Callithrix jacchus: one gene and its partners. The main gene of each other region encodes a partner of the protein of the gene in region 3 in a complex. Links are inferred from orthologs where the notes say so. Each region holds a gene or a part of one and is shown on either strand. Other genes may lie near its edges. The genes, in order: ERCC3, POLR2D and GTF2F1.

What was found.
Region 1: GTF2F1 (region 3) and ERCC3 share a complex: the UniProt entries of both Homo sapiens proteins name them as parts of the TBP-based Pol II pre-initiation complex. The link is inferred for Callithrix jacchus from reciprocal best matches to the Homo sapiens genes GTF2F1 and ERCC3.
Region 2: GTF2F1 (region 3) and POLR2D share a complex: the UniProt entries of both Homo sapiens proteins name them as parts of the TBP-based Pol II pre-initiation complex. The link is inferred for Callithrix jacchus from reciprocal best matches to the Homo sapiens genes GTF2F1 and POLR2D.

What each region holds. Positions count from the first base shown.
Region 1 is NC_133507.1:37,190,256-37,193,867, forward strand, and holds part of ERCC3 (general transcription and DNA repair factor IIH helicase/translocase subunit XPB), read left to right. Parts: intron 1-748; coding exon 749-1,063; intron 1,064-3,612. UniProt on the Homo sapiens protein: ATP-dependent 3'-5' DNA helicase/translocase. Binds dsDNA rather than ssDNA, unzipping it in a translocase rather than classical helicase activity. Component of the general transcription and DNA repair factor IIH (TFIIH) core complex.
Region 2 is NC_133507.1:36,558,647-36,562,864, reverse strand, and holds the start of POLR2D (DNA-directed RNA polymerase II subunit RPB4), read right to left. Parts: upstream 2,853-4,218; 5' UTR 2,830-2,852; coding exon 2,757-2,829; intron 1-2,756. UniProt on the Homo sapiens protein: Core component of RNA polymerase II (Pol II), a DNA-dependent RNA polymerase which synthesizes mRNA precursors and many functional non-coding RNAs using the four ribonucleoside triphosphates as substrates.
Region 3 is NC_133523.1:6,031,169-6,035,362, reverse strand, and holds the start of GTF2F1 (general transcription factor IIF subunit 1), read left to right. Parts: upstream 1-1,360; 5' UTR 1,361-1,514; coding exon 1,515-1,526; intron 1,527-1,610; coding exon 1,611-1,657; intron 1,658-2,467; coding exon 2,468-2,540; intron 2,541-4,194. UniProt on the Homo sapiens protein: TFIIF is a general transcription initiation factor that binds to RNA polymerase II and helps to recruit it to the initiation complex in collaboration with TFIIB. It promotes transcription elongation.

The DNA of each region.
Region 1 (3,612 bases), on a different chromosome or scaffold from region 3:
CCCTGAGTTCTCAGTCCCGTTTACCGTGTAATAATGATAGTGGACTTTTGCCAAGTCCCTTCTCCTGTGGGCTAGGCATGCTGTACCCCAGTGGCGTTACTGTCCTTTGGCTGTGGGCAAGGTAAGGTACTCCTCGGCTTTAGTGTTTCTTTTTTCTTTTCAAGACAAAGTCTTGCTCTGTCGTCCAGGCTGGAGTGTGCTGTGGCACCATCTCGGCTCACTACAACCTCCGCCTCCTGAGTTCAAGTAGTCTCCTGAATACCTGTGATTATAGGTGCCTGCCACCATGCCCATCTAATTTTTTGTATTTTTAGTAAAGGTGGGTTTCACCATGTTGGCCAGGCTGGTCTTAAACTCCTGACCTCAAGTGATCCACCCACCTTGGCCTCCCAAAGTGCCGTGATTACAGGTGTGAGCCACCACACCCAGCCTGGTTTTTCTGTCTTTAAAATGGCAGTAGTAGGCATTTCTCTTCTCACTGGTTTGAGATTTTAACATTTAAATGAGATACATGTGAAGTGCTGCAGTAGGCCCCAGCACCTGCTAATTCTCACATGTGTGTGAGGTGGGCGTGTCTTCTCATTATAAAGAAGAAAACAGGCTGGAGCCATGTGTGTCACACAGATGTCAGCTCTGCAAACTATTACAAGACATTGTCCTAGATTGCTGTACTTAAGAGTCACTCTGCCTGTTCCTGTCCTTCATTTCAGCCTATCCTTGGGTGGGAACTTAATGTTGTTTCTTGTAGGTGCTGGAAAGTCCCTGGTTGGTGTGACTGCTGCATGCACTGTCAGAAAACGCTGTTTGGTGCTGGGCAACTCAGCTGTTTCTGTGGAGCAGTGGAAAGCCCAGTTCAAGATGTGGTCCACCATTGACGACAGCCAGATCTGCCGGTTCACCTCCGACGCCAAGGACAAGCCCATTGGCTGCTCCGTTGCCATTAGCACCTACTCCATGCTGGGCCACACCACCAAAAGGTCCTGGGAGGCCGAGCGAGTCATGGAGTGGCTCAAGACCCAGGAGTGGGGCCTCATGATCCTGGACGAAGTGCACACTATACCAGGTAAGCCGTCTGGAGTTGAGCTGTCCGCTTGTTGAACAGACAGACCAATTTCCATTTGTTAGTTTGGGAGAGGGACTGCTGTGTAGCCCACCCAACTGGCTAAAAAGAAGTGTTGGGTAAAGCTTTTTAATAATGCTTAAGTTTGGGTGGGATGCAGGCAGGAGTGTTCACATTTACAGCTTTCTTAATCACTGGCTCAGTAGTCATATAGAAAATGAAACTTTCTTTCCTCCATCTTTCTTTTGCTGCTCAGCTTAATCAGTTTTTTAATGGCCCTCTAAAAACTGGATTAGGAGCACTGAAAAACCCTTCCGCAGCGGTGGTGATGTGTTTTCTTTGAAGCCTGAAATGTTGATTCTTAGTCAGTATGTAAAAGAAGCCCTGCTTCTTCGAGTATTACGGGCAAACCTTTTTTAAAGCTGCTGTATTGATTTAATTTATATACCATAAAATCACACCTTGCAAATATGTAATCCAGTGCGTTGTAGTAAATTTGTGGAGCAGTGTGCAGCCATTACCATGATCCAAGTTTTTTTTTTTTTCCTGCGATGGCATCTCACTCTGTTGCCCAGGCTGGAGTGCCGTGGTGTGATCTTGGCTCACGGCAACCTCTGCCTCTTTGGTTCAAGTGATTCCCCTACCTCAGCCTCCCGAGTAGCTGGCTAATTTTGTATTTTTTTTTTTTTGAGGCGGAGTTTCGCTTTTGTTGCCCAGGCTGCAATGACATGGTCTTGGCTCACTGCAACCTCTGCCTCCCGGGTTCAAGCGATTCTCCTGTCTTAGCCTCCCGAGTAGCTGGGATTACAGGCATGCGCCACCATGCTAATTTTGTATTTTTAGTAGAGACAGGGTTTCTCCATTTTGGTCAGGCTGGTATCGAACTCCTGACTTCAGATGATCCACCCGCCTCAGCCTCCCAAAGTGCTGGGATTACAGGTGTGAGCCACCACGCCTGGCCAAATTTCTGTATTTTTAGTAGAGACGGGGTTTTGCCATCTTGGCCAGGCTGGTCTTGTACTCCAGCCTCATGTGATCTGCCCGCCTGGGTCTCCCAAAGTACTGGGATTACAGATGTGAGCCACTGCATCCAGCCACCATGATCCAGTTTTAGACTTCCTTTATACTCATTTGCAGTCAGTCTTTGTTTCTTTGTCTGGTTCAGGCGGCCACTGAACTGCTTTCTGTCACTATAGATTTATGGAAAATTTATTTTCTTATGTCTGGCTTCTTTTACTTCACATAATGGTTCATATGTGCCTTAGCATTTATCAGTAATTTGTTTCTTTTATAACTGCATAGTTTTTTGGGTGAATCTTTTTTGATAAAAACAGATTAAGGGATTTTGATTAACAGGTTAGTGCTGTGCATGGTGGCTGACACCTGTAGTCCTCTAGCGCTTTGGGAGGTGAAGGCAGGAGAATTGCTTGAGCGCAGGAGATTAAGATCAGCCTGGGTCACATAGTGACACATGTCTCTACAAAAAAGTTTTTTTAATTAGCCAAATGTGGTGGCGTGCACCTGTGGTCCCTGCTGCTCAGGAAGCTGAGGTGGGAGGATCACTTGAACCTGGGAGGTTGAGGCTGCAGTGAACCATGATTGTGCAACTGCACTCTAGCATGGGTGACGGAGTGTGAGACCCTATCTCCAAAAAAAAAAAGAAGAACGATTAGGGTAAATTAAGAAGTCTGGAATAGACGTTTCTATGAACAAAATGAAATCTGAGGCATTTCCCAGGTAGTGTTCAAAATGTTGTCAAAATGGCCCCCGCATCTGGCTCTTTCTGTGCACTGATGAGTTTCAGGAGATACCTAGAGATGTTCACAGCTGGCCAGGGAGGGATTGGAGGTCTTTCTGATGGGTGTTGCAGGGTATGGGTTCTGCTGTGGGAAAGTACTTGGCACAGAGAGACAGCACAAGATGGCCATGCTGCCAGAGGAGAAAGAACATAGAAACAGTAGTCAAGGCTGAGGAAGGATAGAGGTATTGGGGCAGATCTTGTAGGACCTTGTAGGCGACAGCAAGAACTTTGGTGTTGTACTCTTAGTGTGAAGACATCTAAGGGGTTTGAGCAGAGGGTGATGTGAGCTGACTTTACACTCTAAAAATACCACCCTGGCTGCTGTGCCGGGAATAGACTGAGGGAAGCAAGATGGAAGCAGTGAAGTGGGTTTGTAGAATTCCAATAAGAAGTGTGAACCAGTAAGGATGAAAGTATGATCCAACTCTGGATTTGTAGTGAAGCTTTTAACTCACAGGTCAAATGGGGGGATCAGAGAGAGAAATCAGGAATGACACTAAGGTTTTTGGCTCAAACAAAGGGAAGATAGAGTGGGCAGTGCTATCAGAGATGGGGGACATTGTCAAAGGAGCTGGTCTGGAAGGTGACTATCAGAAGTAGCGCTTTAGATATATGAATTTGAGTTTCCTGTTAGATATTTAGGCAATGGCAAAAAGGTAAAAAAATAGGCAAAAGAAATTGACAGACATTTCACCAAAAAAGGCATTACTTATGTCAAAGAAGCACCTGAAAAAGTATTCAACCTTATTAG
Region 2 (4,218 bases), on a different chromosome or scaffold from region 3:
AGGGGTCCCACAGTTGGCCCTGCAGAACTCGCATACAAAAAGCCTGCCTGCCCTCTGTATCCTCAGTTTCACAGCCTGATCCAAGTTTGGTTGGAAAAAGCCCTGCGTATAAGTGGACCGTGCAGTTCAAGCCTGTGTTGTTCACAGTCAACTGTATCCAATTCAGCAAAATTTTCATGTGTACCAGACACTACCTGATTTCATCAAAAATTATATGCAGAGTGTAATAAACTCACTAAGCAAAAAGTACCTACACAAAACCCAAGTACAAAAAAATCTGTGTATCATCAAATTAAGAAAAGCATCTTTTTAGTTATCCCTTAAAAAAGAAACTATTATTTCTATCATGCCAAAAACTTTCATAAATCTACCTATGGAAACATATGACCCTCATTCCATAAATAAAAAACTGAAAGGAGGCTGGGCACCACCAGTCCCAGCTATTGGGAGGCTGCGGAAGAACTGCTTAAGCCCAGGAGTCTGAGGCTGTGCTATTACTGAGCCTGTGAATAACCACTGCAGTCCAACCTGGGAAACACAGTGAGACCCTGTCTCTTAAAAAAAAAAACAGAAAACCGGCCCGGCGCGGTGGCTCGCGCCTATAATGCCAGCACTTTGGGAGGCCGAGGCGGGTGGATCACGAGGTCAAGAGATCGAGACCATCCTGGTCAACATGGTGAAACCCCATCTCTACTAAAAATTACAAAAAATTGGCTGGGCACGGTGGCGCGTGCCTGTAGTCCCAGCTACTCGGGAGGCTGAGGCAGAATTGCCTGAACCCAGGGGGCGGAGGTTGCGGTGAGCCGAGATTGCGCCATTGCACTCCAGCCTGGGTAACAAGAGCGAAACTCCGTCTCAAAAAAAAAGAGACCGAGACCATGCTGGTCAACAAGGTGAAACCCCGTCTCTACTAAAAATACAAAAATTAGCTGGGCATGGTGGCGCGTGCCTGTAATCCCAGCTACTCGGGAGGGTGAGGCAGGAGAATTGCTTGAACCCAGAAGGCGGAGGTTGCGGTAAGCCGAGATCGTGCCATTGCACTCCAGTCTGGGTAACAACAGCGAAACTCGGTCTCAAAAAAAAAACAAAAAACAAAAAATCAAAAAAACCCAGAAAACCCTCCAAACACTGGAAGTAACTTCTATCTCTAACAACAAAAAAACAGCATTAAGGTACAATCAATAAGTACTACCTAGCCCATTAAAAGAGTAAGAGGGTGCGCGCAGTAGGTCACACCTGTACTCCCAGCACTTTAGGAGGCCAAGGTGGGCGGATCACGAGGTCAGGAGTTCAAGATCAGCCTGGCCAACATGGTGAAATCCCATCTCTATTAAAAATACAAAAATTAGCAGGGCTTGGGCGCACCTGAAATCCCAGCTACTCCAGAGGCTAAGGAAGGAGATATGCTTGAACTCAGGAGGTGGAGGTTGCAGTGAACCGAGATCGCACCATTGCACTCCAGCCTGGTCAACAGAGCGAGACTGTCTCCAAAAAAAAAAAGAGTAAGTTAGGGCCGGGCGTGGTGGCTCAAGCCTGTAATCCCAGCACTTTGGGAGGCCTAGACGGGTGGGATCACGAGGTCGAGAGATCGAGATCCTGGTCAACATGGTGAAACCCCGTCTCTACTAAATACAAAAAATTAGCTGGGCATGATAGTGCATGCCTGTAATCCCAGCTACTCCGGAGGCTGAGGCAGGAGAATTGCCTGAACCCAGGAAGCGGAGCTTGCGGTGAGCCGAGATCGCGCCATTGCACTCCAGCCTGGGTAACAAGAGCGAAACTCCGTCTCGGGTGGGGGAAAAATAAAAAAAGAATAAGATAGGTCAGGTGCTGTGGCTCACTTGAGCTCAGGAGTTTGAGACCAGCCTGGGAAACATAGTGAGACCTTGCCTTTACAAAAAAAAAAAAAATTTAATGAGCCAGGTATGGGGGCATGTACCTGTGGTCCTAGCTACTTGGGAGGCTGAGGTGAGAGGATCGCTTGAGCCAGAGAGGTTGAGGCTGCAGTGAGCTCTGATCTTGCCACTACATTACAGCCTAGACAACAGGGCGAGACCCTATCTCAAACAATCAATAAAGAGTAAGATAGCTGTATACAATATACTGTAAAGTTCTTGAGCTGAAGACCTCATCCCTAAGAATAGCCTCCCCTTGATCACCATAAACCGCTTAAAGTGCGTGCCTGAGAAAACTGAAGGCTACCAAAATAATTTTTTGTTCTACCCAACAGCTGAAGACAGCCCTGTCTCTCCGTCTCAGGGGGAAGGTAGGGGCCTAACTTCGATAGGTGCGCCAGTAAACAAACCACTGTGGGTTCACACGGACCAAGCCTCGTCTTCCCGGTTTTTTAAATATCTCACTTCCCTGACTCCCCTGAGCCCCCGCTCACCACAACCTATTCCCTAATTCTCCCTTAAAACGCCCAGAGGTTTTGTACTAATCGAAGCTGAGTTCGCTTCACGCTGGACTCTTTTCCATAGCGCAACAGTTAGTTTAAAATCTGACCTTACCACCTGAGTGTCCGGCTTTATTTATCTTTAACACAACCCGCCGGAACTTCGCAGTCTGCTATCACATAAAATAACCCACTTGGCCAGGCGGCCCCTCCCGGTTCCATGTTTCCTCCCCAGCACTACAACGCGCCAGGGTTTGCCTGAGCCGCCGCTGAGGCCAGGCCTCGGGCGAAGCGTGGCTAACGCCAGGCCTGCGGGGACCACGCAAAGTGGCGCGGGAGAGTCTGGCAGCCCGAGCCCAACCTTTAGGAAAGATGAGCTGTGAGGCGTCCTCCTCTACGTCGCCAGCCCGCGGATCGCTGCCGCCAGCCGCCATCACCGCACGGCCCGCCACCACCCACGCTGCCGGAAGCGGAAGCGCGGAGAACGGCAGCAGAAGGGGCGTGGCCTCAGGCGGGGCACCGAGGGGTGGGCGGGGCGCCGAGGGTGGGCCTGGCCCGGCGCGACTAGAGGACGGGTTGGTGAGGTCTGGGAAACTCCTAGCCGCCGAGGGGTACCCTGCGCGGGATTGGGGTCCGCCGCACTCTCTCTCTCTCTTCTCCAATGCGCCTCACCGCGCGGACGTCCTGGGGCAGCCCCTAAGCCTTTCTGGGCAGAGAGGGTCAGATGAGATGCAGGAACGCCTGCTGATGGAAAGCAGGATTGGCGCCTCAGAACGCGCCCGGTCCAATTTCCTTTACTGACTTAAACTTTTAAAACTGTATTGATTTCTGGGGGATATTTGATACTTCTGAGCATGCGGACAATGATATTCGAAGGCTTTAACCACACGTCTGTTGGAACATTTGGATGATGCGTAGAAAATTAAGCAAATGACGGCTGAGCGCGGTGGCTCACGCCTGTTATCGCAGCACTTTGGGAGGGCGAGGCGGGCGGATCACCTGAGGTCAGGAGTTTGAGACCAGCCTGGCCAACGGGGTGAAACCCCATCTCTACTACAAATACAAAAATTAGGCGGGCGTGGTGGTGGGCGCCTGTGATCCCAGCTACTCGGGAGGCTGAAGCAAGAAAATCGCTTGAACCCGGGAGGTGGAGGTTGCGACACTGCACTCCAGTTTGGGCGAGTGAGCGAAACTCTGTCTCAAAAAAAAAAAAGAAAAAGCAAATGAAAAGTGATGCTGTTTTCAACACTGGAGAAAGGGCAAAAGGCTGTACAATAAAGGAAATAATCATAGCTTATTAGTCAACAATCTCGGCTCATTAGTCAACAATGTTTATTTAGATGGTCATATTGTAAACTCTGTTGATTTAATAAAAAATGAATTGGGCTGGGCACGGTGGCTCAGGCCCGTAATTCCAGCACTTTGGGAGGCCGAGCCTGGAGGATGGCTTGAGCTCCAGAGTTCAAGACCTGCCTGGATAACACGGTGAGACCTCACCTCTAAAAACTATAGAAATCGGCTCGGCGCGGTGGCTCATACCTGTAATCCTAGCACTTGGGGAGGCTGAGGCGGGTGGATCACGAGGTCAGGAGTTCGAGACCAGCCTGGCCAATATGGCGAAACCCCACCTCTACCAAAAATTCAAATATTAGCCCGGTGTGGTGTCACGCACCTGTAGTCCCAGCTACTGGGGAGGGTGAAGCAGAATCGCTTGAACCCAGAAGGCAGAGGTTGCAGTGAGCCAAGATCACTCCACTTCACTCCAGCCTGGGCGACAGAGCAAGACTCCATCTCAAAAAAAAAAAAAAAAAAAAGAAAGCGGG
Region 3 (4,194 bases):
ATCCACCCGCCTCGGCCTCCCAAAGTGCTGGGATTACAGGCGTGAGCCACGCGCCCGGCCGGGAATATAAATTAATGACATTTCTGAGGCTTCTGACTCCCCAGAACTTATGGGGTCTACCCCCTACACTAACCCACTACAGGAATTAAAAAGTTTACACCCCAGACTACTTCTGCCTCTCTCACTCCTACATTCCGAGGAGTTGGCAGTTCTTGACATTTAGTGGATGAGGAATAAATGAAACCAGACATGTCTTGTTCCCCTTCCCTCTGCGTAGCCTACAACTCCTATGCATCCCTCAGTGGCCAACTGAAACCTCCCGTCTTCTCTGAGCCCTCAGAGCCCCGCTGTGCTTCTCCTGCTCCTTCCTGGGTTGTAGATTCCCATTTTATGAGTCTCCGCCACGACACTGTAACCCGCAGAGGACAGAGAGCTGGTTTGATATATTCACCTGGCGGAGCCCGGAACCCAGCAGCGTGCTTGAGTATTTCCGAACTAGAGCAATGAATGGTTGTGCTGTGAGCATGCGCAATTGTGTTACTGCCAGGCTTGAGGGGTGTGTGCACGCCTGGAATGGGGTAGGGGAACTTGCACCTCCCTCCCGTCCTCTGCAGCCTCCTTCCCTTCCCCCCAGTAAGCCAGCCAGCCACCCCCACGACGTTACTCTTCTCCGGGGGCCTCAGAGCCCTGCCCATTTGGGGCAGCTTGGACTTGCAGAGACCCATCCCGCCAGCAGCCCTTGGGGTGGTCGCGCCCCGATTCCGGGCAGGCTCTGACCCCTCCTGGCTCGGCTCAACGTCACAAGGGTCCCCGCTCCGGTCATTTTGCGGGAATGACGGGGTCCACCCCTTCTGGGCAGGTAGAGGAAACGAACCCCAAACAGGCCCATAGGGAGCCAAGCGGCAGTTCGACTGGACCCGAGTAGGCCTCAGTTGCTATGGTGACGCGGCCTTCCAAGCCCCAAAGTCCCGAGCGGCATGACGCATGCGCAAAGCGCCTGGGAGCCCGCAAGGAGGACTAGCTTCCTTCTTCCCACCCAGGATGCCCTGCGGTCCTTGGGTGCTGACGTCACGAAGGAGGGCGGTCCCACATTTGATGACCGCACTGTACATAGGAGCATCAGCGACCAAGGCCGGTTATTTGATCTCAGACTCGGCCTTGTTGCGTCTGAAAAGGGGCAGGGGTGGCTCTTTTGAGGTGGCCATAGACGCCGAGGAACATAAGTGACGGCGCATTGAGGTAGCCACAGCCGCTTAGAAGGTTGCCATCGCGACGCGGCCGCTGGAGGGTTTAGCTTCCGGGTTAGGCGGCCGCGGAGGCGTAGACGGAATAACCTGAACGCCTCTTCCGGTTACCCTTTCCCAGTGCCAGAGGCGCCTAGGGTAGGAATCCTCACACGGGGACCGGAACAGAGACCCGACAAGGAACGGCGGCTTCCCCGAGATCGAGGGACGCGCTAGCCAGAGGAGAAGAAAGGAACCCGGGTCGGACCACGGAACCACTGACCATTGCCCATGGCGGCCCTAGTGAGTGTGGATTTGGCGGGGTTCGGGGGTCCCGGCGGCGACCTCGGCGGCACCTTACTCACCGTCCGCTTCCTCTTTCCGCAGGGCCCCAGCAGCCAGAATGTCACTGAATACGTCGTTCGAGTTCCGAAGTAAATCCCCTACCCCATCTCCCACTCCTCTCCACCCCGCAAAAGTGAAAACCTTTACGGTCCTCTTAGCCTGACGTTTCTGGCCCTGTCTGTGGTTCTCCCTCCAGACCGGGGGACTTGGAGGGCAGGGCTGCGATTAAGCTGAGGCTTCTCTGGAGGCAAACACTGCTTTTTGTATGAATGAGTGCATTAATACACAGCACGATTCAGCCTCCTGGCCTAACGTTCGAGAGCATATGATGCCCAGGCTGTCTCGTCCTCTTTCAAAGCGAGCAGGCTGCCTTTCCTTTCCAGGCCTTTGTACATCCCGTTCCCTCTGCCATGAGTGCCTCCCCTCAGCCCCCAAACGGTGACTCTGTTGGGTGAATTCTTGTTGATTCTGCAAAACTCAGCTCCAGTATCATCTTCCTCCAGGAAGCACTCCCTGACTGACCTCCCTCCTCCCCAAGGCTGAGTTCCCAATAATCTCCACATCTTGGGTTTCTCCCAATCTTTGTTCCTCCATTTGTTCTTCGTCTGCACGCAGTTAAGAGGGGATGGGGTCTAGCTTCTCTGGCAGACTGGGATTCCTGCAGTCTTCCGTATCCAGTGTTGACAGGCAAAACAGACTGAATGAACCAGGGTGGGTTTGTTGAGTGACTGAATTAATGATTCAGTGGAATGGAATGCTTGAATTAATGGTTCAGTTGAATGGAACGATCGAATTAATGATTTGATTGAATTAATGATGTGTTCACATTGATTGATTAAATTAATGATTGAATTGAATTGATGTATTGGATTGGCTCTATCTCTTCTAATCCACTCTAGGAATACAACCAAAAAATATAACATCATGGCTTTTAATGCAGCTGATAAAGTCAACTTTGCCACGTGGAATCAGGTAAGTCCCTGGGTCCTGGGGGTCGGGGGCTGGGGTGGTGAGAGAACCTGACCCTGACCTTGGTGGTTGTAATAGTTGCTTAGCTGTCATAGTAACTAAGTCTTAATTTTCTCACTTTTCCCAAGTGGAGATAAGGTAGATGACAAAGAGTTGGGTGCAGTAGTTTGTACCTGTAATCTTAGCACTTGGGAGGCCAAGGCAGGAGGCTTGCCTAAGGCCAGGAGTTCAAGACCAGCCTGGGCAATATAGCAAGACCCTATCTCTACCAAAAATAAAATAATTAGCTGGATGTGGTAGTGTGCATCTGTAGTCCTGCACAGGAGGCTGAGGTAGGAGGATCACTTGACCCCAGGAGTTGAAGGCTGCAGTGAGCTATGATTACACTACTGCACTCCAGCCTGGTGACAGAGTAAGACCTGTCTCAAAAAAAAAAAAAAAAAAAAAAAAAGATGGCAAAGGCCCAGGCCAAGCTCCTGGGTGTCCCTGTAAGTTACGTTTAGTAGGACCACAGGAGGCCATTCCTTAATGGAGAACATTTAGAAGTTGTGCCCACTGATGGCCATTTTTGCCAAGGTTTATCTGGCTGAGGGAGGGGACTGGGCTAGGGCCTTCCCCAGAGCCCCTGCCATCAGAGGCTCTAGAAAGGACTGTGGGAGCCATTAAAGCATCCTCCACGGGGAAGTTGTATTGTGATCTGGCTGCTGTGGGGAGGCAAACTGTGGGTTTGAGGGCGGATAAAGGGAGAACAGGGTGGAAGCAACTGGGCTGACTGGTCTAGGTGAGTCCTGGCCTGGGGATGTGGAGGCCGTGAAGGTGATGAGATGTGGCTGGATTCTAGAGTGTTTTGGAAATGGTACATATGGACCTTGAAGCAAGAGCTTAAGGGTAATTGGGACCTTATTGGCCACATAGGTCATGATTAATGGTTACATTTTAGAGATTTTGGTGTCTTACTGTCAACAAGTTTGGCACAATGAATTTCTTTTTATTTATTTAAATTTATTTTTTTGTGATGGTGTTTCACTTTTGTTGCCCAGGATGGAGTGCAATGGCACGACCTCAGCTCACTGCAACCTTCAACTCCCAGGTTCAAGCCATTCTCTTGCCTTAGTCTCTCATGTAGCTGGGATTACAGGTGCCCACCCCCACTCCCACCTAATTTTTGTATTTTTGGTAGAGATGGGGTTACACCATGTTGGTCAGACTGGTCTCGAACTCCTGACCTCAGGTGATCCACCCACCTTGGCCTCTGAAAGTGCTGGGATTACAGGTGTGAGCCACTGTGCCTGACCTTTTTATTTTCTTTCTTTCTTTTTTTCTTTTTTTTTTTGAGACGGAGTTTTGCTCTTGTTACCCAGGCTGGAGTGCAGCGCGATCTCGGCTCACCGCAACCTCCGCCTCCTGGGTTCAGGCAATTCTCCTGCCTCAGCCTCATGAGTAGCTGGGATTACAGGCACGTGCCACCGTGCCCAGCTAATTTTTTGCATTTTTAGTAGAGACGGGGTTTCACCATGTTGACCAGGATGGTCTCAATCTCTTGACCTCGTGATCCACCCGCCTCGGCCTCCCAAAGTGCTGGGATTACAGGCTTGAGCCACCGCGCCCGGTCGCTTTATTTTCTTTCTTTATTTTTTTGAGATGGAGTCTTGCTCTG